7 linked regions of the Sus scrofa genome follow. The protein of the gene in region 6 interacts with the protein of the main gene of each other region in a biochemical or structural test. Links are inferred from orthologs where the notes say so. Each region holds a gene or a part of one and is shown on either strand. Other genes may lie near its edges. The genes, in order: NCF2, WASL, MCF2, PAK1, EIF2AK2, CDC42 and CDC42EP3.

Region 1 (3,943 bases), on a different chromosome or scaffold from region 6:
CTGACACTCCCTCAGGGTGTGGCGGTTGGACTGGTTTGACACAGACATGAGAGAGAATTCTAGTTAATAATAAGATGTCAGGAGAAGTCTGCTGAGGATTTCTGGGAAAGATTTTTTTTCTTACTGATGATTAAAAAAAAAAAACAGGAGTTCCCGTCGTGGCGCAGTGGTTAACGAATCCGACTAGGAACCATGAGGTTGCGGGTTCGGTCCCTGCCCTTGCTCAGTGGGTTAATGATCCGGCGTTGCCGTGAGCTGTGGTGTAGGTTGCAGACGCGGCTCGGATCCCACGTTGCTGTGGCTCTGGTGTAGGCTGGTGGCTACAGCTCCAATTCGACCCCTAGCCTGGGAACCTCCATATGCCGCGGGAGCGGCCCAAAAAGACAAAAAAAAAAATAAAAAATAAAAAAAAATAAAAAATAAAAAAAAAACAAAAACAAGGGAAGAAACTTCCCTTGTTTCTCCCCTAGACTGTACTACGAAGATGTGCCTGGAATAGTGGCAGCTATCTTGTGACCATGAGAGACCGCTAAGAACAAACCATTGTTTTAAGGAGAGAGAATGAAAAACCACGAAGAACCTGGGTCCGTAATTAGGTTAGTAAGCTCCTCAATCAGCTATCTTGGAGCTGACCTACTCAGGATTTACTTTGGGGTGAGATAAGAAACCTGTTTATTCTTTAAGCCACTTGAATAATGTTTTCTGTCATTTATCATTTAAAACATTCTCACAGATTGGGAGTTCCCATAGTAGCTCAGCAGAAACAAATCTGACTAGCATCCATGAGGATGCAGGTTCAATCCCTGGCCTTGCTCAGTGGGTTAAGGATCTGGCGTTGCTGTGAGCTGTGGTGTAGGTCAGCAGCTACAGCTCTGATTCGACCCCTAGCCTGGACACCTCCATATGCCATGGGTTTAGCCCTAAAATAAACAAACAAAAAATTCTCAGATACACCACTGTATTCTTGATTCCTGGCACAGCATTTGATATAATAGCTATTCAGAAAACATTACTTATTGAATAAATTTTAAGACATTGGCTGGATAAAAGTTTCAGCTCGGTGTCTTCAAAATTATTTCAAAATCCTGTACAAGCAAGATTTACGTTGCTTTGGTAACAGATCACAAGTTCCTGTTGTGTGCATTCGTTCATTCAGCTGGAAGCTAAGAGCATTCCTTTTTTTTTTTTAAGTCTTTTTAGAGCTGCAGCCTTGGCATATGAAGGTTTCCAGGCTAGAGGTTGCATCAGAGCTGTAGCTGCCGGCCTACACCACAGCCACAGCCACACCAGAGCTGAGCCACATCCGTGACTTACACCACAGCTCACGGCAATGCCCAATCCTTAACACAAATGGAACCTGCGTCTAATCAGGTCCTAATCAGGCTCACGTCTGCTGAGTCACGACGGGAACTCCTAAGAGCCTTTCTCATGCTTTCCTTTTTCTCTGAGGGAGGAGCTGTGCTGTCCAGCGCTGTGATTCTCATTATTCCTTGGTGCTCAGCAGGTGTCTCCTCATCCCCATTTTTAGAGCTTAGTGTTTCATCCCGCTTTTTCTATCACCTGAGGCTTCTCTCTAAAGCTCCTTAAAAGCTGGAAACAAATCTCAATTTGCCTGTCTTTCATCACAGTTAGTGTTTTTCTAAGCACATGGCAAGTGCTCCGTAGACTCTCGCTAACTGGTTAAATGAACCAAAAATTAGGAAATGGAACCCTACTTGAAAAAAATAAATAGCATTTTAATGGGGCAGTGTCACCTTATTAGCTTAAAGTGAGGTACACGTCTAATAGTAGGAGGAAGTATATACTTTCTATGCACTCAACTCTCATGTCAGTGGATACTTACATTGAGTACCAGACAGGAAACCCTCAGGAGGTGGGCAGGGAGACCCCAGTTATTACATTTAAACTCAGCCTGGATTTCACAAGGAGGATGCAGGAAACTGGACCTGGGTGTCCTCACTCAGCAATGCGAGCGGAAAGCCGCCGGGCTGAGTCCTCCTTCTCCAGGAAACATCGTAAGCTAGTGCTGTCTGTGCTACCATTGTATTAGCTTTCTATTGCTGCGTCACAAATTGCCACTAACTTCCTGGCTTACAGTAATACACACTTACTCTCATAGTTTTCTTGGGGGCAGAAGTCCCGGCATGGCCCAGCTGGGTCCTCTGCTCCGGGTCTCACAAGGCTGAGATCAAGGTGTTGGCTGAACTGCATCTTATCCAGAGGCTTGACTGGGGAAGAATCAGCTTCTAAGCTCCCTCGTGGGTTGGCAGCATTCATGTCCTTGCAGTTGTAGAATTTATGTTGTTTGCTTCTCTAAGACCCGTGACGGAGAAAGCGTCTCTACTTCACTGAGTCTCGGATCTCTAGACCTCTTTTTAAAAATTATTTTTCCTTTTTTGGCCGCCCCGTGGCATGGGGAGTTTCCAGGCAGAGGTCAGAACTGAGCCACAATGACGACCTAAGCCACAGCTGTGGCAACGCTGGATCCTCAACCCGCTGTGCTGGGCCAGGGATAAAACCTGCGTGCCAGCTCTCCCAAGGTGCTGCCGATCCCATTGTGCTACAGCAGGAACGCCTCTAGACTCCTTTTAAAGCCTAACTGATTAGATCAGGCCCACCCGGGTTAATGTCTCTTTCGATCAAAGCCAGCTGTTTAGGGATCTTGATTACTGCTGCAAAGTCCCTTCACCTTTGCCACCTTCTGTGGGTGAGAAGCAAGTCATAGCTCCTGCCTACACGAGGGGAAGAACGTACACAGGGCAGAGATGATTAAGGCTCATCTCAGGCTTCTGCCCATCACAGCTACAGAGTTCCACTCTTCTTCCCTGACGCAACAGCTAGATCACGTATTCCTCCCCCGTGCTCTCAGAGCAGCCTCTCGCTGACTCTCAACTGCATGTGATTCTAATGACTTGGTTAAGTGTTTCTCAACGAGACTGTAAGCTCCAGAAGTACAGGACCTATATCTGATTTTTCCACTTCCCTTCTGTGCCAATCACATGGTAAACTCTCAAAACAGGCCTCACTAACAATGTTGTGGTTACACGCTTTTAAAATCACTGTAGGAGTTCCCCTGTGGCACAGTGGGTTAAGGACCTGGCATTGTCATTGCAGTGGCGTCGGCTCCATCCCTGGCCTGGAAAATTCCACATGTTCTGGGTATGGACATACATACATATACACACACATACCTACCTACATACACACATAAAACAAAAACAAAAGTAAAAAAAAAATGTTTAAGTGTCTTGGCTAATCAAAAAAGGAAAACTAGATGTTTGCCCCTGGCCCAAGGCTCTAAAACCAGAGATTGCTAAAGAGAGAAGGAAGAATCTCAGAAAAACCCAAGCACGTGGCACACAGGGATCTCAGAGATGGAGGAAATGGAGAGGCAATGGGACCCCCCAGGGGATTCTCTCAGGAGGCCAGACACACAGGATGGAGGAGGTGGGGCCTGACTCAGGAGGAATCCAAAGGCTGGACAGAGATCAAACGCAGAGTACAGGGAAAGCTGAAGCCCAGAGTGAGCTGAGGCTGCAAAAATTACTAAGGACAGCACAAAGAGCTCCTTAGTGTCAGGGGAAGAGCGGGGAGGGTTACCGCTGGGTGCGATGGCGTCACGTCAACAGATGTCGAGGAGAAAGCAGAACCCCTCCGCTCCTACTTTGTTCCTGAGTCACTCAGAGGCTCCAGACTGAGGAGGGCGAGGAAGCTGAGAGCTACTTGAAAGAAATGCCAGTTATCAAATCCCGATTCATTAAATCCCAGGAATTGAAAGGTTTTGCAAATATGATCTCACCACGAAGACTGGGATCTACGCTAAAAAGCCAGGTTGGAGTGTGAGTCTAGTTTGTAAGTGTGAGTCTAGTTTCCTAAAAGCTTTACCCTGGAAAGAATTCTAGAAGATAGATTATTAAACAAAATCACTTAAAATTTAAACAAA
Region 2 (3,500 bases), on a different chromosome or scaffold from region 6:
ATCACTGAGCCACGATGGGAACTCCTTAAATTGATTAAAAATGAAGTTCTTGTATCTGCTGAAAGAATTTGATGTACTGTCTTATTCAGAGAGTACACATATTATACATATGTCATATCCTCTTGGTTTTACCCTATTATTACAAAATGTGTTTGAAAAGGACTTTGCTTTTAGCAACTTTAAGTTTTCTTGCTTTGGATTTGGTGAGAAAATTGAGTGAACCTTAGCTCCAACACCCAGACCTCCAATATGCCTTGAGTGTAAATATTAGGAGCTTCCTTCAGTAATGGTCTGATCCAGGTAGGATGACACTCCTGTTTGCAGCTATGTATTATTTCCAGTTTTAAAAGTTTGTATGCCAGGAGACAATACCCTTATGAGTATTGGCCCTTCTGCATATTATGTCTAAATGTTTATAACTATATTTGATAGCATATTTTTATGGCATATTTCCCATGATTGTCCCAGATGAAATCAAAAGATACTGTTTGATTTACTTTGAACTGAGGGCTGTTTTTTTCCTCTTTGGTATCATTGCATCATTGAGCATCTAAGCCTATTGTTACTTGAAATCAAGGTGGGTATTTGTATTTGTATAGACTGTAGAAAATTCATCAATAATATTACAGTTTCTCAGAAAATACAAATAGCTGTTATGGATTTTAGGATTTCTTTATTCCTAAAAATAGTTAATTTTTCTATTCACTCTTTAAATGAGTGGAGAAATAATGATGTTCATTATTATACAAGTTTGTGAATCCTCTTGGCAAAATCATGCCTCTAAAAACATAGAAAATTTGTACTTTGGATTTGTTCTCCTACTTTTATCTTACATTTTCACCTAAGTAGAATAAGAATGTATATATCAGAGTAATGTTAATATTTTATTAATAACTTTAATTTTGCAGTACTTAGAAATCTCAGTTGATTTGTTAATGTCTCCTAAGTAAGTAGTTAGCCTTAATGCCTTCAGCTGGGCCTTAATGCCATCACTAGAATTGCTGACCATCTTTTATTAATATCGTACAATGTTTATTATATATTATGTATTTATTACATATATATTATATGTTGTTATATATTCTATACATACAGAAAATATAGGACATAAATTATGCAAGTTAGGTTACAAAGGCTTATTTTTTAAAAGAAAAAGTATTTGGGTTTAACTCACATTAAGTGGAATAAATTCCAATAAACTATGCTGCATTAGCTGTTTAATTCTGAATAGAAATTAATTTTATAAAACAAATATACTTGATTCTTTAAAGAGAGAAGATTCCATTAATTTTTATTAAAATGTAAAATAACAGTTATTGATCAAAATGTTTAATTTCATTGTTATATTTTTGTTATTATTATATAAAAATTTCTTTGTTCCCTTACCTTGAGAAGTAATGCTGATTACTAAAAACTCACTTGTACTATTTTAGCTATTATTTTTTTTCAAGAAAGACCAGGAAGGTGTTCTTTAGGCTGAGTATTCCCAAATAGAGTTGTGAGATATCATCAGTGCTCACATATCTTTGTAAAATAAATACAAAGATGAAGCCTTTTTTCTCATACTGGTTTTTTGTTTTTTTTTTTTTTAAATACATGTTGAAGTGAGTTGCTTTTTCAGTATGATGTTTGTGGGGGAAAAAAGCATGGTTTCTTTTTTTCTGTTTTTATTTCAGCACCGCCACCTCCACCACCATCAAGGGGAGGGCCGCCTCCTCCTCCCCCCCCTCCACATAGCTCAGGCCCTCCTCCCCCTCCTGCCAGGGGAAGAGGGGCTCCTCCTCCGCCACCTTCAAGAGCTCCCACAGCTGCCCCGCCACCGCCGCCTCCGTCCAGGCCAGGCGTAGGAGTCCCTCCACCTCCGCCAAATAGGATGTACCCTCCTCCACCTCCAGCCCTTCCCTCTTCAGCACCGTCAGGGCCTCCACCACCACCTCCACCTCTGTCGGTGGCCGGGTCAGCGGCACCACCCCCACCTCCTCCACCTCCACCTCCACCGGGGCCACCACCTCCCCCCGGCCTCCCTTCTGATGGTGACCATCAAGTTCCAACTCCTGCTGGAAGCAAAGCAGCTCTTTTAGATCAAATTAGAGAGGGTGCTCAGCTTAAAAAAGTGGAACAGAACAGTCGACCGGTGTCCTGCTCTGGAAGGGATGCACTTTTAGACCAGATACGACAGGGTATTCAGCTGAAATCTGTAAGTAATCTGTTCTTTTCAGTTTAGATTACCTGTCATGATGGAATTTTAATGTAATTTTAAGACCTCTTTGAAAAGGGGTTGGGTTTTTTTGGTTGCTATTCTTTTGTTTTTTTACTTTTTCTCGTGGTATTTGTTTTTTTGACCCTGTGAATTTCTGATATTCATAAAATGCACAAATTTATACCTATACAGTATCACCCCAGAAAGTTCCCTCATGCCTGTCTCTTCCCAAAAGAATCACTGATTCTGATTTCTATCACCATAAGTTTAGTTTGCCTATTTTAGAACTTCATATTAAAAAATGTTGCTCTGTGTTTGCAGTTCATCGTTCTAGACTTTTAAATAAAACTTAAAGAAAAATCTTTATTAAACTGTACAGAAGTAAACTTAGCCCTGTTGAATCCAATTATAATCATTTTTGTAAATTCATTCCATTAACTTCTGAAAACTAAACCATATTTTAAAGTTTACATGTTCTGAAATTTAGATTCGTGGAGAATCAGACTCCACAAAAAACTGAAAGAGTTGTAATAAGGGTTTCTGTAGTGATGGCAGATAATTTTGGGTTCTCCGAATTGGATGAGGTGATCATTTAATCTTCTGGAGCAAAGGTTGGCAAACTTTTTTCTTTAAAGGACCACATAGTAAACATTTTAAGCTTGCAGGCTGTATGGTCTCTGTTAAAACTACTTAACTCAGCCTAGTACCACAAAAGTAGCAGCTATAGACATACGTACCGTGAGAGAAGCCATAGACAGCACATAAATGGGCATGATTGCGTTGTATAAAGCTTTATTTATGGACATTGAAATTTGAATTTCATATAATTTGCACATATCACAAATATTCGTCTTTTTATTTTCTTTCTACCATTTAAAAATGTAAAAATCATTCTTGGCTTTTAAAAAATTTTACAGAATCAGGGGTCAGGCTAGACTTGGTCCATGAGCAGTAATTTCCTGATCCCTGACCTAGAACCTAACCTGCCTAACAAAGACATGCTTCCTCTGGGTCTTTATGTGTAGTCTCTCTGTTCCAGGCAGAACATTTACTCTGCAGGGCTTCAGACAACTTATGGATGGTAAATTTTAACGTGTATTCAGGTTGATTCTTGGATCAGCCTGTGAACAGACACCTCTCCTCCCTCTTCCCATTTAGTTGAGACTAAAGATTTCTCAGGAGCAGTTAAAGAACTTTGAATAGTTGCTAGAGGGGAGAATTAGTGTCAAAATGACCACAGCCCAGGTAAATAGTAGATTTTAATGAGCTTTTACCAAAGAATCTATGCTGGGTCCTGTGT
Region 3 (4,253 bases), on a different chromosome or scaffold from region 6:
AGTCGTCTACTACTTTTATAGACTGCTACTTTTTCAACGTACAGTTATTTATTAAGTTGGAAAAGAACATCGGTGGAATTCTTAATGTCATATGCGGGAACAGTTGCAAGCTGTTTCTCCTCTTCACATATTCAAGAGGGGGGCTGGAAAACATTCTGTCTGTGGACCCATTCAGACAGAGCTTGAACTGGCTAGAGGAGGAGGAGGGGGGGTGTGTGTGAGTGTGTATGTATGTGTTTTCTTCCTCTGCTTACTTTTGCCTTTTACACTTGCCTGCACCGGCTCTCGGGAGGTATAGATGAGTGATTCTCCATAGAGCGGTCGAAAGATCAACGTGGAACGACTGGCCTATGTAACATCTGAACACTGTCTTACTAGAAAACTTTGAAAAGGCTGAGGATTAAAGAAAGAAGTGGCACTCGCAGCTCTGCTAAAGGCTGCAAGCATTGCAGCAAAATCCTGGCGAATCTCTCCCGATAGCACTGACTTGGTTTCAGACGTGCAGGGTTTGTTTTTGTTTTTGCCACGCCCTGGGGCCTGTGGAAGTTTCCAGGCCAGCCATCAAAGCTGCACCACTGCAGTGGCCCAAGACGCTGCAGTGAGAACGTGGGATCCGTAACCTGCGGCGCCACAAGGGAACTCCCAGACTTGCACTTTTTATGCGGACGTCCCCAGGCCTGTCCTCAGGTGGCCGCTTCCTGGGCAGCACTCCTGCCGGGCCTGCTCACTCCTTTCCTTCCAGACACTTCGGAGCCCCATCTTTCATCGGGCCCCATCCCTGGGGGCTCTGGGGCAAGGCAAGAGCTCTGGCTCCTCTCCTTTCCCACTTGGCTTCTCGAAGGGGTCGCCTCCCCTTGCCTTTCCATTTTCCCGCGCTCTCTGCGTTCCTGAGCCCTTTCTAGAACGGCAGTCCCGCAGGGCCACTGGCTAGCGTCCTGGCTCCCGCGCGCGGCCAATCTCGGCCTCGGCCAGCGCTCGCTGGATGCCAGGGAAGCGCCGAGCCCAGCACGAGTTGCCATGGGAGTGCGAGGCCGGGCCGTCCCCTCCCACCACGTGTGCGCTCCGGGGCCGGCCTTCCCTCCGCTGACAATGGGCGTCTCTGCAGGGGTTCTCCCTTTAGGCTGCCCGAGTCCCTCCTCCACCTCCCCGCCTCCGGGCCTCCGGGAAGCTAAGCGGGGGCGTGTGTGCACACCCTGGGGGAGTTGCCCTCGCGGCTGCCGGGGCCAGAAACGCCCCGCCGGAGCCCCGGACTCCGAGCAAGTTCCCGGGCTCCGGGCGCCCCGCGCCCTCCGGCCTCCGGGCGCGGCCGGGCTGAGCGGGCGGGCGGGCGGCAGAACCCCCCGGCGGCGCCGGGCCGGACGCGGGGAGGAGTTCGGCGGCGGCGGCGGCGGCGGCGGGCCGGGGGGGCGGGCCCGGCCCGGCCTCCCGCTAGACGATGGCGGCGGCGGGCTCCCGGCCCCACCTGGGCTCGGCCGCCCGGCACGCGCCCGGGGCCCCGCAGCCGCGGACCCCTGAGGCGGACGGCAGGACGCCGGGCCTTCCCCAGGACCCGGACGGCTGCGCGTTGGTGCCGACCACCCAGGCCATCCCTCTGCAGGTGGACATGGCCATGGCCCTGCAGCGCGTGCGGATTTCCGAAAAGTACGGCAAGAGCTACCTCTGCCTGCTGCAGGCGGTCTTCGTCGCAGGTAAGTTCCCTCCTGGCGCTCGCCGCCCGCTGGCCTCTGCCTCCCGCCAGGCTCGCGCGCCCCTCGCCTCCCGCGCTCCATCCCCAGGCGCCCGGCCGCCCAGCACGCTTCGCCTGCCCTCGGGCCGCGAGCGCGACGGCCAGCCCGCCCGCCAGTTGTCCCTCCGGCCGCGGGCCGCGCTGCGGGGGGACTGTGGGAAAGTCCGGGAGGGGGTGTGAGGACGTCTCCGCCGTGGCTGCTTCGGGTCCCCGCTGTCCTCCTCACCCGCCTCGGTGCGTCGCCAGAGGTGGCACTAGACGGTGTCTTCCAAGCCCGCATCCCGCCCACCAGAAGCCGGCCTCCCGAGGGTGCACGTCCCTCGTAATCTTCCCCGCAGGCTGGAAAAGCGGGGGTGGGGTGGGGTTGAGACGTTTGGGGAAACCGAGTCCCCAAAGGCGCTGGGGTTCGGAGACTCTCCGCACTGCAGTCGGAGAAGTTGTAGAGAAACCGCGCCTCCGCCGGCTTGGACTTTTCACCAGGACGGGTGTGTCTTGCCAGCTGGGCCCAGGAGTTTCCTGCCTCCTGGGGTCCTAACCCCAAAGGCAGAAGTTTGGGGTTGTCTCTCGGGACAAACAAAAAGAGCCGACAAACCCACACGTCCTTTACTGCTACTGCCGTGGTTTGGTTGAGGGGTGTGCGCGGGGTACTGTGGACTCGGTCACTTGCCCGCGGTGATGCGCACACGTTTGCCTCGCGGGAGGTGCAGAGCTTTGGGGTTGGTGCAGCAGGCTCTGGGCTCCGAGGAGACAGCTCCCTAGGGGACCATGCAGACCGGGGCTCAGGAGCCACCCGAGAACAGGGTGCAGCTCTGGGGTTTTCAGACGCGTTTTCGAGGTACCGGCATTGCCGTGCCTGTGCTTAGAACGCAGCGTGTCACCGCTGCGGCCTGTCTGGATGTTCGGGTCTTGCCCGTTTGGGGTTGAAGGTGGGCGCGATTGGTTTCCAGGTGTAATCCGTCGTGAAGGGGCGTGGGCTGGCGCAGCGCACGCTCCTTCAGGTGTTGAGCATTTGAAAGGCCCTGGGATGCTGCGGCCGCCTCGCTCGTCGGAACGTGTGCAGCTCAGGGGGGTGTGGCAAGGGCTCTGCGTCTTGTGTTTGCTCCTGCATCTTCCTGAGAGTTCAAAACAAAAACAAAACAAACGTAAAGCTCCAGACAAGAAATGTCTGCTTTAGCACGGAACTTGTTAGGTAGGCTACGCACTCTGCGTTCACATTTCTACCGCCAGTGATTTCTTGTCTTTCTCTAAGTTGTGCGGGTGTGTCAGCTTCCATACCTTTGAAGGCTCCTGCATGTTGGCAGGCCCCTGTCGCCTCAGCATTATGACCCAGCACAGCAGCCAAATGACACCGGGTGCAGCGTTCCATTTTTAAGCAAGCTTGCAGGACTGTTCTGCCTTTTAGCATTTTTAGCTGCACGGTCTGGAGGACCGCCGGAGTGGCCTGAAAGTGGTCTGTGCTTAGGATGTTAGGGCACGCACCCTAGTGGGATAGTTTTATGTGTAAAAAGGATTTCATGTATCTAAAAAAGGTTCATCTGTTTAAGAAATATGTGTACAAGGCTTTTCACTGTGGTGCAGAACTTTCTGAGATCGTTTCGGTAATGACCGTTTAGACACTGCTCCCTATAGGACATGCTACATTGTAATAAGCTAACTGCACCTGCTTGTGCAGCATCTGCCGTGGGCAGCGAGGATGAGCAACTCTACTTAGGGCCCTAGCTAAGGGCAGACTTCAGGGAGAAGGTGATGTGTGACTTGAATCTTCAAGGATGCGCATGCATTTCCAGGTGGACTGGGGCTAGGGATGGAGGGTGGTGGGGAGGGGTAATCAGGCAAAGGAAATAAGATGCGCAAAAACAAGGAGAAAGGGGATGGCATCACATGTTTGGGAAACTTTTTCTTTCTTTCTTTAATGATTAGAATGTAAAGTGTGGAAAATACAGGAGAGAGATCACTTTGGGGAGGTAGACAGAGGCTGGGTCAGGCCCTTTGTAAGGCATATTAGAGGGCTTTACTTTGTAGGGCCAGGAGGAGCCACCAGAGTGTTGTAACCAAGGCCGCTATGTACCGTTGTCTAGGTTGTGCACTGCAAAACTGTGAACTGTGAACGACGCCCTTGCTAGGGTTGTATCAGGCACATTGTGCACCGTGGTTGACAGCAGCATTGCACAGTGGAGCGTCTTGCTTTGGGAAATGCCATCTGGTGGCTGTGTGAAGGACACAGTGTGTGGAGTGTGCCGCAGAGAGGAAGAAGACCGGGAATAAGGGGGCCAGTTAGAGAGCAGTTGTAGCAAGCTGGGCAGGCGTGGGCCAAGACACGAACTAAGTCAGTTCTGGGAATGGGGAGAAGGGGAGAAGCTTGAGGAAATGAGAGGGTAGAATTGATTTGACTTGATTTCGAGGTTTGAAGGACAGCGCAGGAGACTAGGTTAATTCCGGGTTTCTGGATGGGATGGCGGGATGGGAAGAGAGGTTGGGATATAGCAGGGAAGGGAGGAGGAAGAGGAAATTTGGGGTTTAGTTTTGG
Region 4 (4,101 bases), on a different chromosome or scaffold from region 6:
GCTGGAACAAAAGATACCACGTAAGATGAGGCTAGAAAGGCTGGTGTAAGCACCAAGGTTGTGCAGTGCCACATTAAGAATGTGGATTTTATTGTGAAGCACAAAACCCTTTGAGAGTATTTAAAGAGGGAAGGCTTTCGTCAGATTTGTCGTTTTAAAAGGTTACTCTGGTCACTGGTAAGTACGGTTGAATCTGGAAGACTGAAAGCCGCTCTAGTTGTCTAGGTGATGGCAGTGAGTGAAGAGAAGGGCGAGATCTTGGGAAATATTTAGGAGACTCTACAGGACTCGGTGACAAATTTGATGAGCGTTGAGAAAGAAGAATGGGGGTTTCTGGCTTAGTGTACTGCTGAATGGTGGTCCATTCACCAAGACCAGAAAGTAACATGAGTCACAAGTTTTGGGGAATATTGTAGTAGGAACAGTCTACATTCCAAAGGGCTTAATGGTGCTAAATTGCACTTACTATTATTATAAAACGGTGACTCAGATCAAGTTACCCATACACAGGTACAACTTAAGGAGAAACTGTGGCTTAGAAATGTTAAGATCCTATCACCAACATCTGTACAGCTGGAATCTGAAGCAAGGCAACTTAATTCCAAACCCTTAGTCACTAACGTTGTTTCAGTTTTGGACATGGGGAATTTGAGGTACAGTGCAAACATTTCATTAGGAAACGCAGAATCTGAACTCAGGGAAAAGGTTTGCGTAGAATGCGACCTCCGTTGGTGTAGGAAGGCGCGAAAAGCTGCCCATTCTTTTCTACCAGAGCACAATAGTTGAAACCTCCATTAACATTTCTTTGCCCCTCCTCCAAGAAAGCCAACAGTGTATTAAATGTCCAGTTCTGAGGTCACAGGATATGGGGTAGCTTCCAAACTCAGCGCTTGGCAACAAGCTAGCAGATGCAGTGGTGCTTTATAACCAAGAGGACCACAATCCTATGGGATTGGCTGTCTTTTTCGACCCCGATTCCACCACTGTCGCCCCTTAACACCTCCCACAAACATCCTGGGGAAAGCCCGCCTTAAAGGAGCCTGCAGCTGTAGCGAGCGATAGCACTCGAGGAGAGACGGGGGCGCAATGACGTCATGCGGCAGCGGGTGATTCCCCAGCCTCTGGCGTCACGCGCCAATGACGTCATTCCAGGCGCTGGCCCTCCCCCAGGCCTGGGTTGGCTTCGCTCACGTGGGTCGGTCCAGTCCTCCCCGCCCCCTCCCACCTGCAGGAGGCTGGGCGGGCCTGGCTGGGCCGGAGCCTCGGCCTCGCGGGGGAGGGGGCGGGGGGCCGGTGGGCGAGGCGGTCCGCCCGGCCCGGCGGCGTACAATAGCTCGGCGGAGGCCGAGGCGGGGGCCCGGGCCGGGGCTTCAGCTGGAGACCCAGGTGTCGGTAGCACCGCAGACGCCCCCTCACGGTTTCCCCCCACAGCCCCCTCCCCCTCCGCCCGTCCGTCGCGCCTCCCCGCCGCCTCCCTCAGCAGCTCCGCCGTCCTACTCGACAGACGCTTTCTCTCAGACTCTTACCCCCTCTTTTGCGGAGCCCCTCAAAGAACCCTCTGTCTCCCCACCTCCTCCCCCGGAGGCCAGTCGAGCCCCTCGCCTCTCCAGCGGCCGGAGCCGCACCTCCTCAGCGGCGTCGCCGGGCTCCCTCCCTCCCCCACCTCACCCCCGGGTCGCTGACCACCCCCGCCCCCGCCCGGTCCGGAGCGGACTCCCCGGCACCAGCGAGGCGGGGAGGCGCCGAGTGCGCGGCGGCGGCGGCTGAGGCGGCGGGAGGGGGAAAGTGAAGCGGCCCCTCGCACACACTCGCGCGCTCGCTCCCCCGCTCGGCCGCCGCCGCCGCCGCCGGCGTGGAAAAGGAGGAGGAACCGAGTGGAGCCGAAGCTAAGCGCGGAAGGTGAGAGCCGGCCTCCCGCGCGGTACCCTTGGCGTCGCGCGGTGCGGGGGCGGGGGCGTCGCGGGGCGTGGGGCCCATTCATTCCGGCTGCAGGGCTGGGCGGGCGGGGGGCGCCAGGTGAGGCGAGGCGGGGGCGTCGCCCCTCGAGGCTGGCCGCCGCTGTCGGACCAACAAAGGCTCCCCGTGCGCTCACCCGGGCGGCCGCAGGTCTCAGACGCCGGGGGGGGGGAGCTGAGGGACCCGGCGGCGGGCCGAGGCGGGGAGGGGTCGGGACCGCTGGTCTGGGTCCGGGACTCCCTCCCGAACTTTGCGGCCCCCCGACGGGGAGCCTAGCAAGGCAGCGTCAGATTCATTGTGCACGAAAGAAATCACCCCGGTCCAGGCCAGGGGGGCGGGGGATCACGTCTAGGGTTCAACTCCTTGAAAAATACTGGATGGTGTTTGACTCACGCGGCCCCTCCCCCACCCCGGGAAGACGCTCACTTGTGGCGTTAAAAACAAACTGGGAAAGGAGAATTGTGGCTGTTTCATGTTGATTATTCCATTTCAATAGGCGCTATTATATCCTTTACTGTCTGGAGTAGTTTCACAGCAGACATTGCTGGGGTGTTTTGGAAGAACACTGGAGACGTTCTGGGTGTTTGGAAGTGTGGAGAGCCAAGTGCTTGTTGTTTGTTAAGCCCTTTGGATAACTGTCTTACACTTTCTCCTCCCACCCCCCCGCCCCCGGAACAGTGAAAGGTGAAGGCAAGAGTTGGTACCCTGGTACCAATAAACATTTCAAATTCACTAGTTTAGCCTTTAAGAGTTGTTTCTGAGAAAATGTGTAATTTTGCCTCCGGTGTCTTTGGGCTCTCTCTCGACTTGGTCAGGAGAAAAAGGAGTCAACAGTAGACACATGCCTCATTGGTCTTAACTTGTGACTTCACCTACTTCCTGTGTGACCTTGAGCAGGTCACTTCCAGTCTTACCGTTCCAGGAACTTGTTTTTGTGCCCTCGAAGCAGGCGGGTATCCACCACCTACTTAGCTTTCAGGAGTCTGCGGAAGAATTACCCCCATTAGAAGTCTTTGCTGGCACCACCCCCATACTCCTCTCAGGCAAAACTTTCTCTTTGGGCCCCTCAGAGGCCTGCTTGGATTTCTACCACAGCACTTTTTTTGTTCACATTTGGTAAATCCTGAATCAGGTGCGAATGAAATCAGTCTCTCCTCAACTAGAAACTATACTTCTCAAAAAGGGTTTTGGAATCATGGACCCCGAAACATTCCCTGAAGCTTATCCATGTCCTTAACTTTTGTGAGCTCTTGGGTCTGTCTGGGAAATTTGCCTATTTAGTCATTGATTTACCCAACATTGCTGGGATCTGAAGAGCTACTGTTTCAAGTTTCCTGCTAGGGCTGTGGGGATTTTGAATCTATTAAGATATTCCCTGTCTTCACAGAGCTCAAAGTCTAGTGGGTGAGGTAGCCATGTAAACAGTGAAGGCCTTCCGTCCTCTCTGGGGGCTCCAGTTGTACAGGGAGCAGTGTGCAATAATTGAGGCTGCTGGACCTGTTTTACAGGTCTTGTCCTGGCCAAAGTGAGACCTGCGGGGAAGGTGGTGACCTGCCTCTCATCCATAAGATAACACTTGACAAAGAGCTTGTTCAGTTTAATTCAGTATACACTTACTCAGCACATGTTATGAGGTTCTGTGTTAGGTTTGGAGGAAGGAGTGCTTTCTACAAGGAGGGCACTGTATATCCAGAGAGATCTTTGTAAAACAAAAACCAATCATTTCTCCCCACCCTCAACTGGTCATTTGCTAAAGAAAAATTTTAAACTCTGATATGAGTAGGAACCTCTTGGAGGTTAGAGTACTGCCTACCTTTGCAGAGGCTCATTTTCTATAACCCTCTGCCCCCCTCTTCTCATCTCTGCTTTTGCATGTGTTGTTCTTTTTGCCTGGAATGCCACCTTCTACCTGCCTGTGGAGAAGCACTTGTTGGACCTCTGGGAAGCAGTCCCTTAGTTTCTCCTTCTATTATCTCCGTAGTAGAGTTGCTCTTCTCTATTCCATGGCTCATGTACAGACCACTCTTATAGGTCCCTATAGCACTCTATTGCAAATGTCTAAGTTTGTGCCTGTCTTTTCCATTAATCTGTGAATTTCTTGAGGGCAGGATCAGTTTAGTTTCAATGTCTACTGAAGTTCCTGGT
Region 5 (4,109 bases), on a different chromosome or scaffold from region 6:
TCACTTTGTTGTACAGGAGAAATTATCACAACATTACAACTCAACTACAGTTCAATAAAGCTTTAAAAGAACAACAACAAAAATTTATATAGTATTTCTGCTACCCTGTAGTATTAGACTCTGCACCTGATTTTTGCTCTATCAGCCCTGAGGCTTACAAGAAGTAAGAAGATTTTCCCCTCAACCATAAAAATTTGTGGCCTCTGACCATGCTTGAGCTTGTCATTTTCTTTCCTTAAGCTCTTGGACAGTTCAGAGGCTTCAAAAAGTCAGAAAACTTGTCATTGCTACTGCCATTGTGGCTGTCACAGTCACCCCACACCCACGAAGCTGGTAAGTGGACTCCTTCAAAGAGCCACTAAAGCTAGAGCTTTTTGCGACCTCAAAGGGCACAGAAAGATGGCTCTGCCTCCTACCTGCCTTCCAAACTCCCATCAGTGTGCCACATTGGGGGAACTTAAATCAAGGAAAATGCAGTGTTTAGCCATTGATATCCTGTCATACAGGGGGTAGAAAAGAGAAGTGGGAAAGGACTCCTGGAGTCAATGGCCAATAGGTAATGTGTACCTGAAGTCCACCTTGGGACCACCTCTCTTACTCACCCTAGCTAGGATGCTGAGGTACAGACTCTTGGTTCTAATTCTGGCTCCTCAGCTTACTAGTTGTTACTTCTCTGTGCCTCAGGCCTGTTTTCTCATCTGTTAAATGGGCATAATAATGGACCTACCTTGCAGAACTGTTGTGAGGTAAGTCCTCAGCACTCCTCAGTCATTTGGTCGAGGCACCAGTATTACTTTGGGAAGGTGTCATAGTCCATTAGGTGAGTAGGTTTTTTTTTTTTTTTTTTTTTTTTTACAAATCTGGGATTTCTGGTAAGAACTTTGGTCGAAACCTCCAGGAGGTTGCGCGGGGAGCAAGTGGCTCTAACTGATGGACTGGCTGGTACAAAGGCTGGCAAGTATCGTTGAATGAATGGATGGATGGCTGGAAACAGACTGAAGGGAGATTATGCCAGCAGACCTCTTCATTCCCAGCCTGGTGAATGTGAGGAAGAGGCAGGGTGCTTTGGTGGTTAAGAGTAATAGAATCCTGCTTTGTTCTGGGACAGTTAATTTGCTCAGTTTCTAATGTAAAATGGAGCTGATGACATCCTTCCCCGCAACGCCGTCCCAAATGTTGCGTTGAAGAGCCCAGTTCAGGGAGCGCCCGCCACGCAGTGGGCCTCGGAGACCTCAAGGTCCTCCCCACATCCCGGCGGACTGATCCCGCCACGGGGGCCGGAAGCAGCATGAGAAGACCAGGTCAGGCCGCAGGGACCCGGACGCGCTCTACCGCGCAGCAGCGGCCGGCGGGTGCCCAGCAGGCTCCGCACTGCCGCCCGCGGGAACTCCGGGTGCAGGCGCCAGTGGCGCGCGATCCCGGAGCCTGCGCGGACAAGTGCTGACTGGTGCGGGAGGGGCCCGTGCGGCGGGGGAAGAAGGCGGAGTCCGCGGGGAAAACGAAACTGAGAGTGAGCGGCCCAGATCCCACCAGGCTTCACAGACTGCAGCAGCGCGGGTGAGTGGCGAGGGGCCGACAACCAGGAGCCACAAGGGCGCTCGCCATCCTGCATCCCCAGCCTGGGACTGGACCCTGGTAAGACCCCTGACCCCTGAGCCGCTGCATTGGGAGCGCTGTCCGAGGCCTTAGGTGGGGCGTTTGCTGAATTTGGGGAGGGACTATGCAGCGCGGTGGGAACCAAAGCCATTCATCTCCCGCGAAGATCTTTTTAGCAGAGCAAGTAATCACTTGCCCAGACGCAGGCTGGGGGCAGGGACAACCAGTGGAAAACGAAAAAGCCCCATCCTTGAGAGACAACAGATGGGAGATACGGAGGCCTGAATTGCCCAAAAAATTGGCTAAATAATCCCTGACCAAAAGTCTTTTGCCTGGACTGTCGCAACTGTTTCCCAAAAGCCCATCTTTAGCCCCCCCCCCCCAGCTCCAACTCCATTCCCACCCCCACCCCCGCACCGCCTCTCAACACCACGGGAACCTGACTTCACGTCCGAACAAGACAACCCCTTTCTGCTCCCCAGTAGCTTCCCATCTCATCAGAATCCCACACAGTGTTTTTTAGTGCTCCTTCCATTCTTGACCACGCAGGCCTTTTTGATGTTCCTGGAGCACAGCTCAGCACTATCTGCTGCCTCTAGGCCTTTGCACTGCCTGTGTCTTCTTGGAAGGTTCTTCTTCCAGATACCTGTGTGGACCAGTCCTTCGTGTTATTCTCACTTCCTCCAATATCACTTTATCAGAGCAGCCTTCCAGGAACAACCTGCATGTGAAAGAAGCCCCACTCTTCCCTTGCTGTCCCCCTTATTCTGCCTTGGTTTTCAATATAGTACTTATCATCCTGTGACACTTTTTATTGGGTTTGTCCATATGCCTCCACTAGTAAGTTCACAAGAGTAGGGTTTTGTTCACTAGTATAACCTAGTACATAATAGATATTCCTTATGTCTTTATTTAATGAGTGGTAGTTAATACATTCTCTTTTGAGTTCCAGAGTATGAGACCCGCCAATCAGAAGTTAAGAGACTCCCTGCTGTCCCTTAGGAACTTAGAATCTTGAGCAGTTTATGCCCTTGTTCTTCTCTTTCCGTATTTGAACCTGAAGATCCGTAACACTGGATGTGTAGTTTATTCATTTAATTCATCAGGTACTAGTTGAATGTTGTTTGTCAAGCAGTGTTCAGACCCTGGAGGGGGCTTGACCCGTAAGTGTTCACAGTCTGCCGTAAGGGAATCAAGGCACAGGCAAAGTAACTTTTGGGCAAGAGTAAGATGGACACATAACATTTTTAGTGATTATGATGGAATTTTCTTTTAGGAAAATGGTAACATATATTCAAATGAGATGTAGTTGAAAGGAAACCTGCTGTTTCTTTTTTTCCAAACTCATAAGTACTTATTTCAAACAGGCCAATTGAGCACCTTATTGGTTTACACCTATGTTTTGCTTAAATTCAAACTGGCTTGTCATTTTGAACATCAGCAGTTATGTAGAGGTAAAAGTTCTGTGGATTTAGGGCATTCCATGGAACTTTGGTTTAAATAATTGCTAAGGACTCTTCCATAACTGGTGTTCTGAGATCTATGGCCTCCTGCAATTGGATGCATGGTCTCATGGTTGTGACTAAACTAAATGACACTTTGGTTCCTAAAAATAATGACACAGCTGCAGATCCTTATCTGAAACCCTTAGGTCAGGTATGTCCTGGTACTCAGGGACTTATGGATTTTTTAAAAACTAGTAAGTAATTTAATGCTCTTAGAGTGGAGCAGCAGTCTATCATAAAACATTTCTGCAGTGAAATGTATAAATGTTGTCTGCAGACAACAAAGTGTGGTAAAGACTCTAAATAACTCATGTTAGTTCAGGTCTAGATGGGGGGCTACACACTGACCGAAACCAAATCAAATGAAAATAAAGTAAACCTCAGTTTTCAGTGCTTTTTGGAATTGGGGATTGTAGGCCAGGAGCACCACTCACTGAGGGGCATTGCTGTGGGAGACCCTGCTGGATGCTTTTTGTCTGATTGACTCTTCACAACAACCTGTGAATCAGGTGTTTTCATTCCTCTTTTCTGGTCACAAATTAAAGGTTAAGAAAGGTGCCTATCTCAGATCTATGTGGCTTGACAGCCTAGCTCTCTCTATAACACTAAGTGGTGTTGCAAAGATGGTGCCTTTGCTCAGATCTAAGCCCTTCCAGCCACCAGCATTGCTCCCCTAAACCACTGCAGCAGCCTCGACTTAGTCTCCTGACCTCTACTCATGCTCTGCTTGTTTTTTCCACAACTGCCCCCATGCTCTGTTCTCTGCATAGCATCAGATTGATCATTAAAGACATAAATCCAATCACATCACCCCTGTGCTGAGAACCCTCAGCTTCCCATTACAAGTGGAATAACATCCACAGTTCATTCATGGTCTGTGTGCTGTGGCACCTGCCTCCCTCTCTGACTCACTTCCCACTTGCTCCCCTTGTTCACTGTGCAGCAGTCTCCTTGGCCTTTTTGCTATCTCTCCAGAAGCCATCATGGTGCCCGCCTTAGGGTTTCCTC
Region 6 (4,207 bases):
GCAAATTTGTTAGCATCATACCTATAGTATGTTAGCATCATACCTATAGTAATCACTCTAAAACGTAGTTCTTGTGTAATTAAAAAAGTCCAGGAGTTCCCGTTGTGGCTCAGTGGTTAACGAATCTGACTAGGAACCACGAGGTTGTGGGTTCGATCCCTGGCCTTGCTCAGTGGGTTAAGGATCCGGCGTTGCCGTGAGCTGTGGTATAGGTCGCAGATGCCGCTCGGATCCTGCGTTGCTGTGGCTCTGGTGTAGGCTGGCGGTTACAGCTCCAATTAGATCCCTAGCCTGGGAACCTCCACATGCGGTGGGAGCGGCCCAAAAAATGGCAAAAAAAAAAAAAAAAAGACCAAAAAATAAAATAAAATAAAATGAAACATTCGAAACAATAAAAAAAAAGTCCGAAGGGAAATATGACTATTAAAAATATTGTAAATAGATGTCTTTCTTGGCCAAATAACTGTGGCAGTCATCAATAAATGAATTATTGTAGTTCCCCTCGTAGCTCAGAGGAAACTAATCTGAGTAGTATCCATCCATGAGGATGCAGGTTCTATCCCTGGCCTTGCTCAGTGGGCTAAGGATCTGGCGTTGCCTTAAGCTGTGGTGTAAGTTGCAGACAAGGCTTGGATCCCGGGTTGCTATGGCTGTGGTGTAGGCCAGCAGCTACAGCTTCAATTTGACCCCTAGCCTAGGAACCTCCATAGGCCAGGGGTGCAGCCCTAAAAAGAAAAAAATAAAGAACTATTATTTAAGATAAGCTATTTTCCTCTAACACTAGGCACCATCTGAGAAAAGACCGAGAAGGCTCCTATTCTGAAGTGTGCACACTGGCAAGGAAGACGGATGACAAACAGGTGCTGTGAGGATAGGATGATCAGGAAGGCAGTGACATTTGAAGGCAGAGGGCCAACGGAAGGACTGGTGAAGAGGAGGCAGCCAGGGGAAATTGTGAATCTGAGGCCTTGTTGTGGGGAGGAAGTCTCTAAACCAATTGATGACGGATGTCGCTGGAACGAGAGACAGTAGGGTGGAAGCAGTGAAGCGAGCACTCAGCTCTCAAGCCATACGGGCCGGGGGAGTCAGAGGGCCATCCACTTGCATTGTGGTCACAAGTCATGCCCCTTTTCGAGTAGCCGCTGTCTTCTTTGCAAAATCAGGATGATGATACTTTGCAAAAGTGCAAAGATCAAAAGAAATGTTAGTTGTGGTGCTTTGCAAACGACCATTTATAGCATTATTACAAATATATGACAGCCACTGGAGAAACAGTTACAAGCGCAACACACGAAAGAGCAAGCAGGACCGCCTGGCGCGTGCGCGCTAGGCTGCCTGAACCTGGGGAGCGGATGAATTCAAGCCCCGCCCGGAACAGCTCGGCCTCTTTTCGCCTCGGATCCCTCCCACTTCCGCGGGCTCCCAACGCTGCGTCGTCTGCGTGCTGACGTCAGGCGCGTGCCCCTGTCCGCAGCTGAGGAGACCCCGCGCATTGCTGCCAACGCCCCGGCTGAGGAGCTGAGGTGAGTGCGGGGTCCTAGGCTCCCCGCGGGAGCGGGTTCCCCACCGTCCCGTTTCCGCTGCGCCGCGCCCGGCCTTTCCCAGTCCACGGGGACGCCCCGCGTCTGGGTTCCTGGGAAGCTTGGGAGCGCGGGGCGTGGAGTGTGTGTGTGTGTGGGGGGGGGGGGGGTGCCCGGCTCGCGCAGCGCCGTTCGGGCGAACGCGGGTCCGGGTTCTGTCCGAGGACGGAGGCGAGGAAGTCGCGGCGGGCAAGGCGGGGGGCGCACGTCGGCCGAGAGGTGTGCGGCCCTGCTGTGGGGTGCCGGGCCGAGGGCGCGGCCGTGCTGTCACCCGGCAGCGGCGGAAGGAAGGGGTCACACCCATCCCGGCCGCCCGGCTCCCCTCCCCCCGGCCCTGCGGACCCCTGAGGCGGACGGCGGGCCCGGGCGCCGGGAGCTGCGGAGACGCTCGCGGGCGCCCGGGCTGCCCGGGGTGGCGGTGGCCCGGGCTCCCAGGCCGGGTCTGCCCCCGCGCCCCGGCCTCGACTTCCTGCTTCGCCCGGCGCGGCCGCAGACATTTTGCGGCGGGCGGGGGGGAGGGGAGCGGATTGCGAGCGCGGCCGGGAAGTGGCGGCCGGGAGCGGGCGGCTAGCTGACCGCCCCGGGTTTGCCTGCGACGCGCCTCCCTCCGCGGTCCCGCAGCTGGACGCCTGGTCCCACTGGGTGGGCCTGGTCGCCGCTTCTCCGGTCTCCTTTATTCCTGCCTTAGGTCGAGTTCCTGATGCCGTTTCCGTTTGCTTCTCCAACTCTCTCCCTGCGTTTTCAGCTGAAGCTTCCCTTTCAGGGAGTTACCTAACCACCTCCCGAAACTGTCGTTCAGCCTTTTGCCCAGTTCCTCTCATTAGGGGGAAAATTTCTTTGTTCGTTTGTGTTTTTCCTCCCCTTTAATCCCAGAGAAATGCAGTGTGGAAGATTACGTCATCGCAATATAAGGGGTGAGAGTTTTTAACTCCTACAAGTCAGGGACTCACTAAATTAAGACAGCATTTTGTAGCCTTGGTTGGGTCACCCATTGGCCTAGCCAACCTGTTTCCCAACGCATCAGAGATGATCTTTTGAAATCCTGGCCGTCTCATATGCATCTGAAAGCCAGGAGGGTTTAAAATCTCCGGATCAACTTGTGCCAGAGAATAAAACGTAAGACAACACCTTCTGCAGCCGCTTGCGTAGGCAGTAACTTTAAAGATCCCTTTGACTGTACCCGAATGAGATGAATTTATTTGTGGAAGCATTTCTTTGGTCTAAGATGCAATTCACAGACTGTTTAACTTCTCCCATATGAATTACCGATTCGGAATATGTACCTAAGTCAACTCATGTGCACTTTTTGTGGTAAGGGTGTGTGAAAAGAGAATCAGTTCTATTTACGCTTAATCTTTGCTTGGTAGTCAGTTTAATTTTGTAATTAAAAATGTTTTGGATTTTTAACCAAATAAACTTAAGTGAGTAATATTTTCAGACTTGGGATCACAGAATGTTAGGTACATCCTAAATTGTATATCCTTCATTGACTGCAGGGTAGTGTAATACAGAAAAATGTTAGCATTGTAAAGCAAATGAGATCCAGTTGTGTAATGCATTGTTGTAAAGATAGTTCATGTTGGAACAAGCGCTTTCCTATTGTTTCTCGTTTGTATAGAGAGAACAGATTGCTTGTTAAGAAACACTTAAAAGTGGTAGGTTTACATCAGCTTTCTGTAGTGTGTAGGTGTTGGTAGATGATTGGATAGGTGTGGAGCTTGGATCTTCTAAAATATATTTATTTGCCATAATGTATCTTTTTAAGAAGATAAAAATGGAACACTTACCTGCTGCCATATTTCTTGAGTCTTAATTTTTTTAGATTGAGGCAAGGTGATAAGAGACTGGTAATTAACTGTGTATTAAAAATGAGCTCTTCCTCAGTAATTTCTTCCAAGACCCAAAAGATAGCACGTTCTTAAAATGTTTTCACATAATAACAACATCTGTACTCAGTTAAATTTAAATTTTTGGGAATCTGAGGCAGGTGTTACAGCCTAGCTTAAATATCAGCGAGATTCTTAAAGCCCACCAAGCCCACATCTTGACTTTTTTGTGACTTCAAGTTTTTTTTTTTTTTTTTTTTTTTTTAAATTCGGGTACTTTTTCCACTTACGGTTTATTAGAGAAGCATTTCTGGTTGTTTTTAAAATAGTTATACTAATAAAATATTTTGATCTAAGAGGTTGCATTTGGAAAACTTTGAATTACAGTTTGCTGTGCCTGTCTGAAAGTAGTATTTACAGACATTCTTGGAAGTAGAAGTCAAACTATACTTTTATTTTTAAATACATTTTAAGTGCATTTATTGTTTTTGAGAGGACAAGGAATGCTTAATGAACATTTCAGGCTACAGGGCTTTGAAGGGAAAGAAGGTGTTAATATTTTGTTAACTTTTGTTCCATAGGTAGATCTATATATTCTATATTAAAAAAATTCATTCTAAGAGAAAGACAAATACCATATGATATCACTTATATGTGGAATCTAAAATATGGCACAGATGAACCTAGACCAGAAACAGACTCATAGACATGGAGAACAGACTTGTGGTTGCCAAGGGGGAGGGAGTGGGATGGACTGGGAGTTGGGGTTTAGTAGATGCAAACTATTACATTTAGAATGAA
Region 7 (4,016 bases), on a different chromosome or scaffold from region 6:
CTAAAAAAATTAAAAAAAAAAAAAGGCTGAATGTGAAAAAGTTTGTGTAATTCTCTCTGTGTGTTTTTATAACAAGAATGTTCATAAGGCCCATGAGATTTTTAAATGAGTCTGTTATTTAAGACTGAAAACCACTCCTCTTGACCAATGCTTCTCACACATCAAATGTACACAAGAACAATCTATATTTCATTGGAATGAAGATTCCAACTCAGTAGCTCTGGAGAGAGGCTTGGCGCTGCTGGTTCCAGGACGATACTTAATGGCAAGAGGCTAGAATATTTTAGTCTGCACTTGTTTGCATACACTGGCTTGTTGCTCTCTACCTCCTAAATAGATTGCAGGTTTCTACTGACACTTCTTGGCTCTTCTCTCACAGTCAGGACTAATAGAAAAATAGCCCACCATCAGGCCTGATAGATGCTTGCTCTACACATATGAGTGCATTAATTGAACCTAATTAAGATATCTTCTCTAGGTACACTTTCTTCGTCTTAGGCCCCTAAGGTTTTTACTGACTTTTCAAGGTGATAAACTTTTCTGTAACCCAGAGTAGAATCTCAGAACCTCTAAAATCTTCCTAAAGCAAAACTTTTCTCTCTCTTCCACAGTGAAATCAAAATCTAGCAAAACTAAAAGCAATTATAGTACAGGAAACACCCTTGTTTGGAAGGATAATCCACTATATAGGGGCACTCTCCCTCCCTGGAGATGTTCCATACCAAGAAGATGTTCGGTGCAAATAAATAACATGAACATCAAACAGGCATGGATAAATCAAATCGGCACCACTAGGCCCCTGAAGGAGTAGGTTTTGGATAAACTGTTTACAGCCCAGAAGTGAAGTCTCATAAAGAAAGGACAGAGAGGGAAAGTCTCTAGAAGTTGAGGAATGGTATAGAAAAGTGAAAATGGAGTTTGAGAATAAAATTGCTACCTCAAACAACTTGCCCCTCTTATGTTTGCACAAGCTGTAAAATAAGTAACTCAGTTATATGGAAGTAAAGTCTCTAACAGCAGCTAACAACAGAGCAAATGAAAAAAAAATTTCACACAAAAGACATGCATAAAGAATGTCTGTGTGCAAAAGGAATTTTTCATGTGGTATTTAATAAATATATATGCATACTATTTGTACTTATAAAAACACCATGTGCAATTAAAGCTATGCATAAATATTTATAAAAATACTTTCATCTAAGTAAGCCAGTAACATTTAATATTTTTCAATAAATTCATACATAAAATACATACATTACTGCCAAATGGAACATATATTTTGAAATATGAACCCCTGGTAAAACACTCAGGAATCTGGAGTAAAATTCAGGTATCTGCCAAAGGAAACTTCGGAGTAGTTGTCATTTGAAGAAAGGAAACAATGCTGGGTCTCTTATCTTCACCGACTGTTTTGCTTGTCAGATTTCTAACATCACTTCAGCTGAGTTTTGTATTTGACTTCCAACTTCATGGCCATTTGACCTGCCAACTATTATTTTCTTTTAACACTCCACCCAAGTATGTTGCTTTCCAGAACGGTTGTGTCCGTTTCCTTTTCACTTCACCTTAACATCAGCCGAGGGTTACAACGAAGACTTAATGTGCACCCTCTAAGGTTTCAGATTAACCCAGGGGCATTATGGTGACGACCTGATGCTGATATCGCTCTGGAAAGTCAAGGTTCTCCTGGAGGATCGCTCTTTGTGCCAGGATTTCCATTCAACCTGAGAATCCCGGGGCTGGGGCCAGGCTGCGAGTGCTTCACTCTCGCAGGTTCCAGCCCCCACCCCCAGGCCGAACGTGCGGGCTGGGACCTTACCGCCGGAAAACGCCGCCCTTTCCTGTCGCCTACTCATTCCCCAGGCCGAGAACTCAAGGACGAAGAGACGGAGACGGATTAAGAAAATTAACCAGGTCGACGCTTGGCCTCGAGGGAAGCAAGGCGGGGCGCGCAGCGGCGGTGGCTGGAATGACCGGCGGGCGCAGGTGCTGCCCAGGGCGGAATTTTACGCTCCTGGGCCGGCAGCTGCGGTACTTGCGCTCGTCTAGAGCAACCGCCACCCGCTTCCAGCTTTAGCCAAGTCTCTTTGAGGCACCCCGCAGGAGAGGAAACGCCTCCCGGTGGACTGGAAAAACCTGCAACATCGGCTGTTCGCGTGCCCACTTGCTCAGCCGGCACCCCCGGGCGTCTCTTGTGCGCCAAATCCACTCTCCGGGTTTTGGCGACATCTCCAAGGGGTTTGGGCTGGAAACTGACAGAAGCCCCCCCCCCCGCAAACTGGAGCTGAGACTGGCCCGGGGACCCAAGGCTCGGCCGGCGCGGCGCCGTCAGGTGGCCTCTCTTCCCCAAGAGTCCGCCGCCCGCCAAGCCGGAGCCTTGCTGGGCTGGATCGACTCGTTGGGAGGAGGAGAGGTGGGTGTACGAGGTTTAGTACAGGTGTCCGGGGTGCAGGCAGAGTCCCTTTGTCCTCTGGCACCCAGCAGCCAGTGCCTCTTTGAACTGGGCGTCCCTGCGACCTTCCTTTGTGCCAAGGGAGCGGAACACATCTTCTCGGAGAAAAGCCCCACCCCTGGAGGTGGCGCTGGGGCGGTAACAATAAGCGCCCATTGTCCGCCAGGGGCTTTCAAGCCCGGCAGCTGGCGACCGGGGTCTACCCGCCCGGGGCCGGAGCTCAGGTACTAAGGCAGGGTGGTGCGGCCAGCGACCCACGGCCTGCGCCCCGCCCCGGCCCGCCCCCTGCGCCGCCGGCCCCGCCCCGGCCCGCCCCGCCCTTCGCAGGTTCAGCCCTGGCGTCCGGCTGCAGTGCTTTCAGTATAGCTCGCACCTTCCCTCTCTCTCCACGGTGGCTGCTAACGGCGGGTTGCGCAGCGGAGGGGCCCGAGCTGGGGGCAAGCCGGGAGTCCCCGGCCTTGGGCGCCTTCACGCAATCTCAGAGCGGATAATGCTGTGAACTGGCGCCGCGCCCGCCGACCCGGCTGGATCTGCGCGTGGCGGGCAGGGACTGCGTGCGCCCTCGGAAAGTGTCGGTGCCGGGCGCCTGGCCCCGGGGCCAGCGGCTGGGATCCTTGGCGCCGCTGGTGAGTTGCCGTCTGCCCACAGCTCCTTTTCTGCGCGTCTGTGAGTTCGTCCGACCCGCGGCCGTGGCCGCTTCCGGCGTGCGCGGGGTCTAGGCTTGGAAACGCACGGGGAACGGTTATACCGAGGGCATCACCTTCCAGCTGGTGTCCTGAGGACCAAAGGCTGTATAAAGCAAACTGAGAGGGGTGCGGGCGGCACGACCAAGACGCAGAGCGCCACCGTTTGTGCCCACCACTTTTCAGGGTGGGGCTGCGCGGCTACACTGCCCCCTCTGAGCCATTGACAGCCATTCTGGGCGCTTATTGCATTTTTCCATCTGAGAACAAGCCGCACATGGCTGCCGCTCCCCTCCCATCGTGGACTGGCACCAGGGCCACACAAGGGTGCACCGCGCAGAACTGGGATGGCAGTACCCGCTGGGCGTGTGTCTCTTCTCTTGATGGGGGGCATTGTGGCAGGGGCTCCAACCTGCAGATCTGGCAGTTGCTTTTTTTTTTTTTTTTTTTAACGGTGGTTTCTGAACAGCTGGATTGTTTTCAAGGTTTGCCTTTTGTTTTGTTTTTCCCTTTTTCCTTGAAACTGCCTTGATACAGACAAGTATTAGACGTGTGAGGACGAATGGATGAGGCCAGTAATTTTTTCATTGTGAATTATTATAGTCCATCCCCCTCTCGACTTCGGGAGGCATGTGTTTCATCTTATAAATAGAAAGTAGCATATTTTTTGGCAGGACCTCCTTTATACTGTACAGTCTAGGAGAGGTCAGTTTAAAAATAAATATGCACTTGAATGTTACGTTACCGAGAGCCAGGCTGTGGCTGGGACAAGCTGCGTGGACAGCAGCATCAAAGCCGGGAACGCAGCTGTGTTAAAAGGAGTAAAAGCCCCAGAGTGCAACCCAGGCTGACAGTCAAGTAATTACATTTTGTTAAAAAAA

Evidence for each region.
Region 1: the proteins of CDC42 (region 6) and NCF2 form a complex in vitro, tested with the Homo sapiens proteins (2 studies listed by BioGRID and IntAct). The link is inferred for Sus scrofa from reciprocal best matches to the Homo sapiens genes CDC42 and NCF2.
Region 2: the proteins of CDC42 (region 6) and WASL form a complex in vitro, tested with the Homo sapiens proteins (3 studies listed by BioGRID). The link is inferred for Sus scrofa from reciprocal best matches to the Homo sapiens genes CDC42 and WASL.
Region 3: the proteins of CDC42 (region 6) and MCF2 form a complex in vitro, tested with the Homo sapiens proteins (2 studies listed by BioGRID). The link is inferred for Sus scrofa from reciprocal best matches to the Homo sapiens genes CDC42 and MCF2.
Region 4: the proteins of CDC42 (region 6) and PAK1 form a complex in vitro, tested with the Homo sapiens proteins (11 studies listed by BioGRID and IntAct, with this or other methods). The link is inferred for Sus scrofa from reciprocal best matches to the Homo sapiens genes CDC42 and PAK1.
Region 5: the proteins of CDC42 (region 6) and EIF2AK2 form a complex in vitro, tested with the Homo sapiens proteins (2 studies listed by BioGRID and IntAct). The link is inferred for Sus scrofa from reciprocal best matches to the Homo sapiens genes CDC42 and EIF2AK2.
Region 7: the proteins of CDC42 (region 6) and CDC42EP3 form a complex in vitro, tested with the Homo sapiens proteins (2 studies listed by BioGRID). The link is inferred for Sus scrofa from reciprocal best matches to the Homo sapiens genes CDC42 and CDC42EP3.

The regions. Positions count from the first base shown.
Region 1 is NC_010451.4:124,810,559-124,814,501, forward strand, and holds the start of NCF2 (neutrophil cytosol factor 2), read right to left. Parts: upstream 2,801-3,943; 5' UTR 2,278-2,800; coding exon 2,112-2,277; intron 1-2,111. UniProt on the Homo sapiens protein: Subunit of the phagocyte NADPH oxidase complex that mediates the transfer of electrons from cytosolic NADPH to O2 to produce the superoxide anion (O2(-)).
Region 2 is NC_010460.4:23,774,393-23,777,892, forward strand, and holds part of WASL (neural Wiskott-Aldrich syndrome protein), read left to right. Parts: intron 1-1,676; coding exon 1,677-2,197; intron 2,198-3,500. UniProt on the Homo sapiens protein: Regulates actin polymerization by stimulating the actin-nucleating activity of the Arp2/3 complex. Involved in various processes, such as mitosis and cytokinesis, via its role in the regulation of actin polymerization.
Region 3 is NC_010461.5:114,353,305-114,357,557, reverse strand, and holds the start of MCF2 (proto-oncogene DBL), read left to right. Parts: upstream 1-1,453; 5' UTR 1,454-1,603; coding exon 1,604-1,688; intron 1,689-4,253. UniProt on the Homo sapiens protein: Guanine nucleotide exchange factor (GEF) that modulates the Rho family of GTPases. Promotes the conversion of some member of the Rho family GTPase from the GDP-bound to the GTP-bound form. Isoform 1 exhibits no activity toward RHOA, RAC1 or CDC42.
Region 4 is NC_010451.4:11,970,275-11,974,375, reverse strand, and holds the start of PAK1 (serine/threonine-protein kinase PAK 1), read left to right. Parts: upstream 1-1,301; 5' UTR 1,302-1,899; intron 1,900-4,101. UniProt on the Homo sapiens protein: Protein kinase involved in intracellular signaling pathways downstream of integrins and receptor-type kinases that plays an important role in cytoskeleton dynamics, in cell adhesion, migration, proliferation, apoptosis, mitosis, and in vesicle-mediated transport processes.
Region 5 is NC_010445.4:103,039,720-103,043,828, forward strand, and holds the start of EIF2AK2 (interferon-induced, double-stranded RNA-activated protein kinase), read left to right. Parts: upstream 1-1,309; 5' UTR 1,310-1,635; intron 1,636-4,109.
Region 6 is NC_010448.4:80,033,628-80,037,834, forward strand, and holds the start of CDC42 (cell division control protein 42 homolog), read left to right. Parts: upstream 1-1,407; 5' UTR 1,408-1,523; intron 1,524-4,207. UniProt on the Homo sapiens protein: Plasma membrane-associated small GTPase which cycles between an active GTP-bound and an inactive GDP-bound state. In active state binds to a variety of effector proteins to regulate cellular responses. Involved in epithelial cell polarization processes.
Region 7 is NC_010445.4:102,536,446-102,540,461, forward strand, and holds the start of CDC42EP3 (cdc42 effector protein 3), read left to right. Parts: upstream 1-1,216; 5' UTR 1,217-2,413; exon of another isoform or gene 2,414-3,078; intron 3,079-3,109; exon of another isoform or gene 3,110-3,620; intron 3,621-4,016.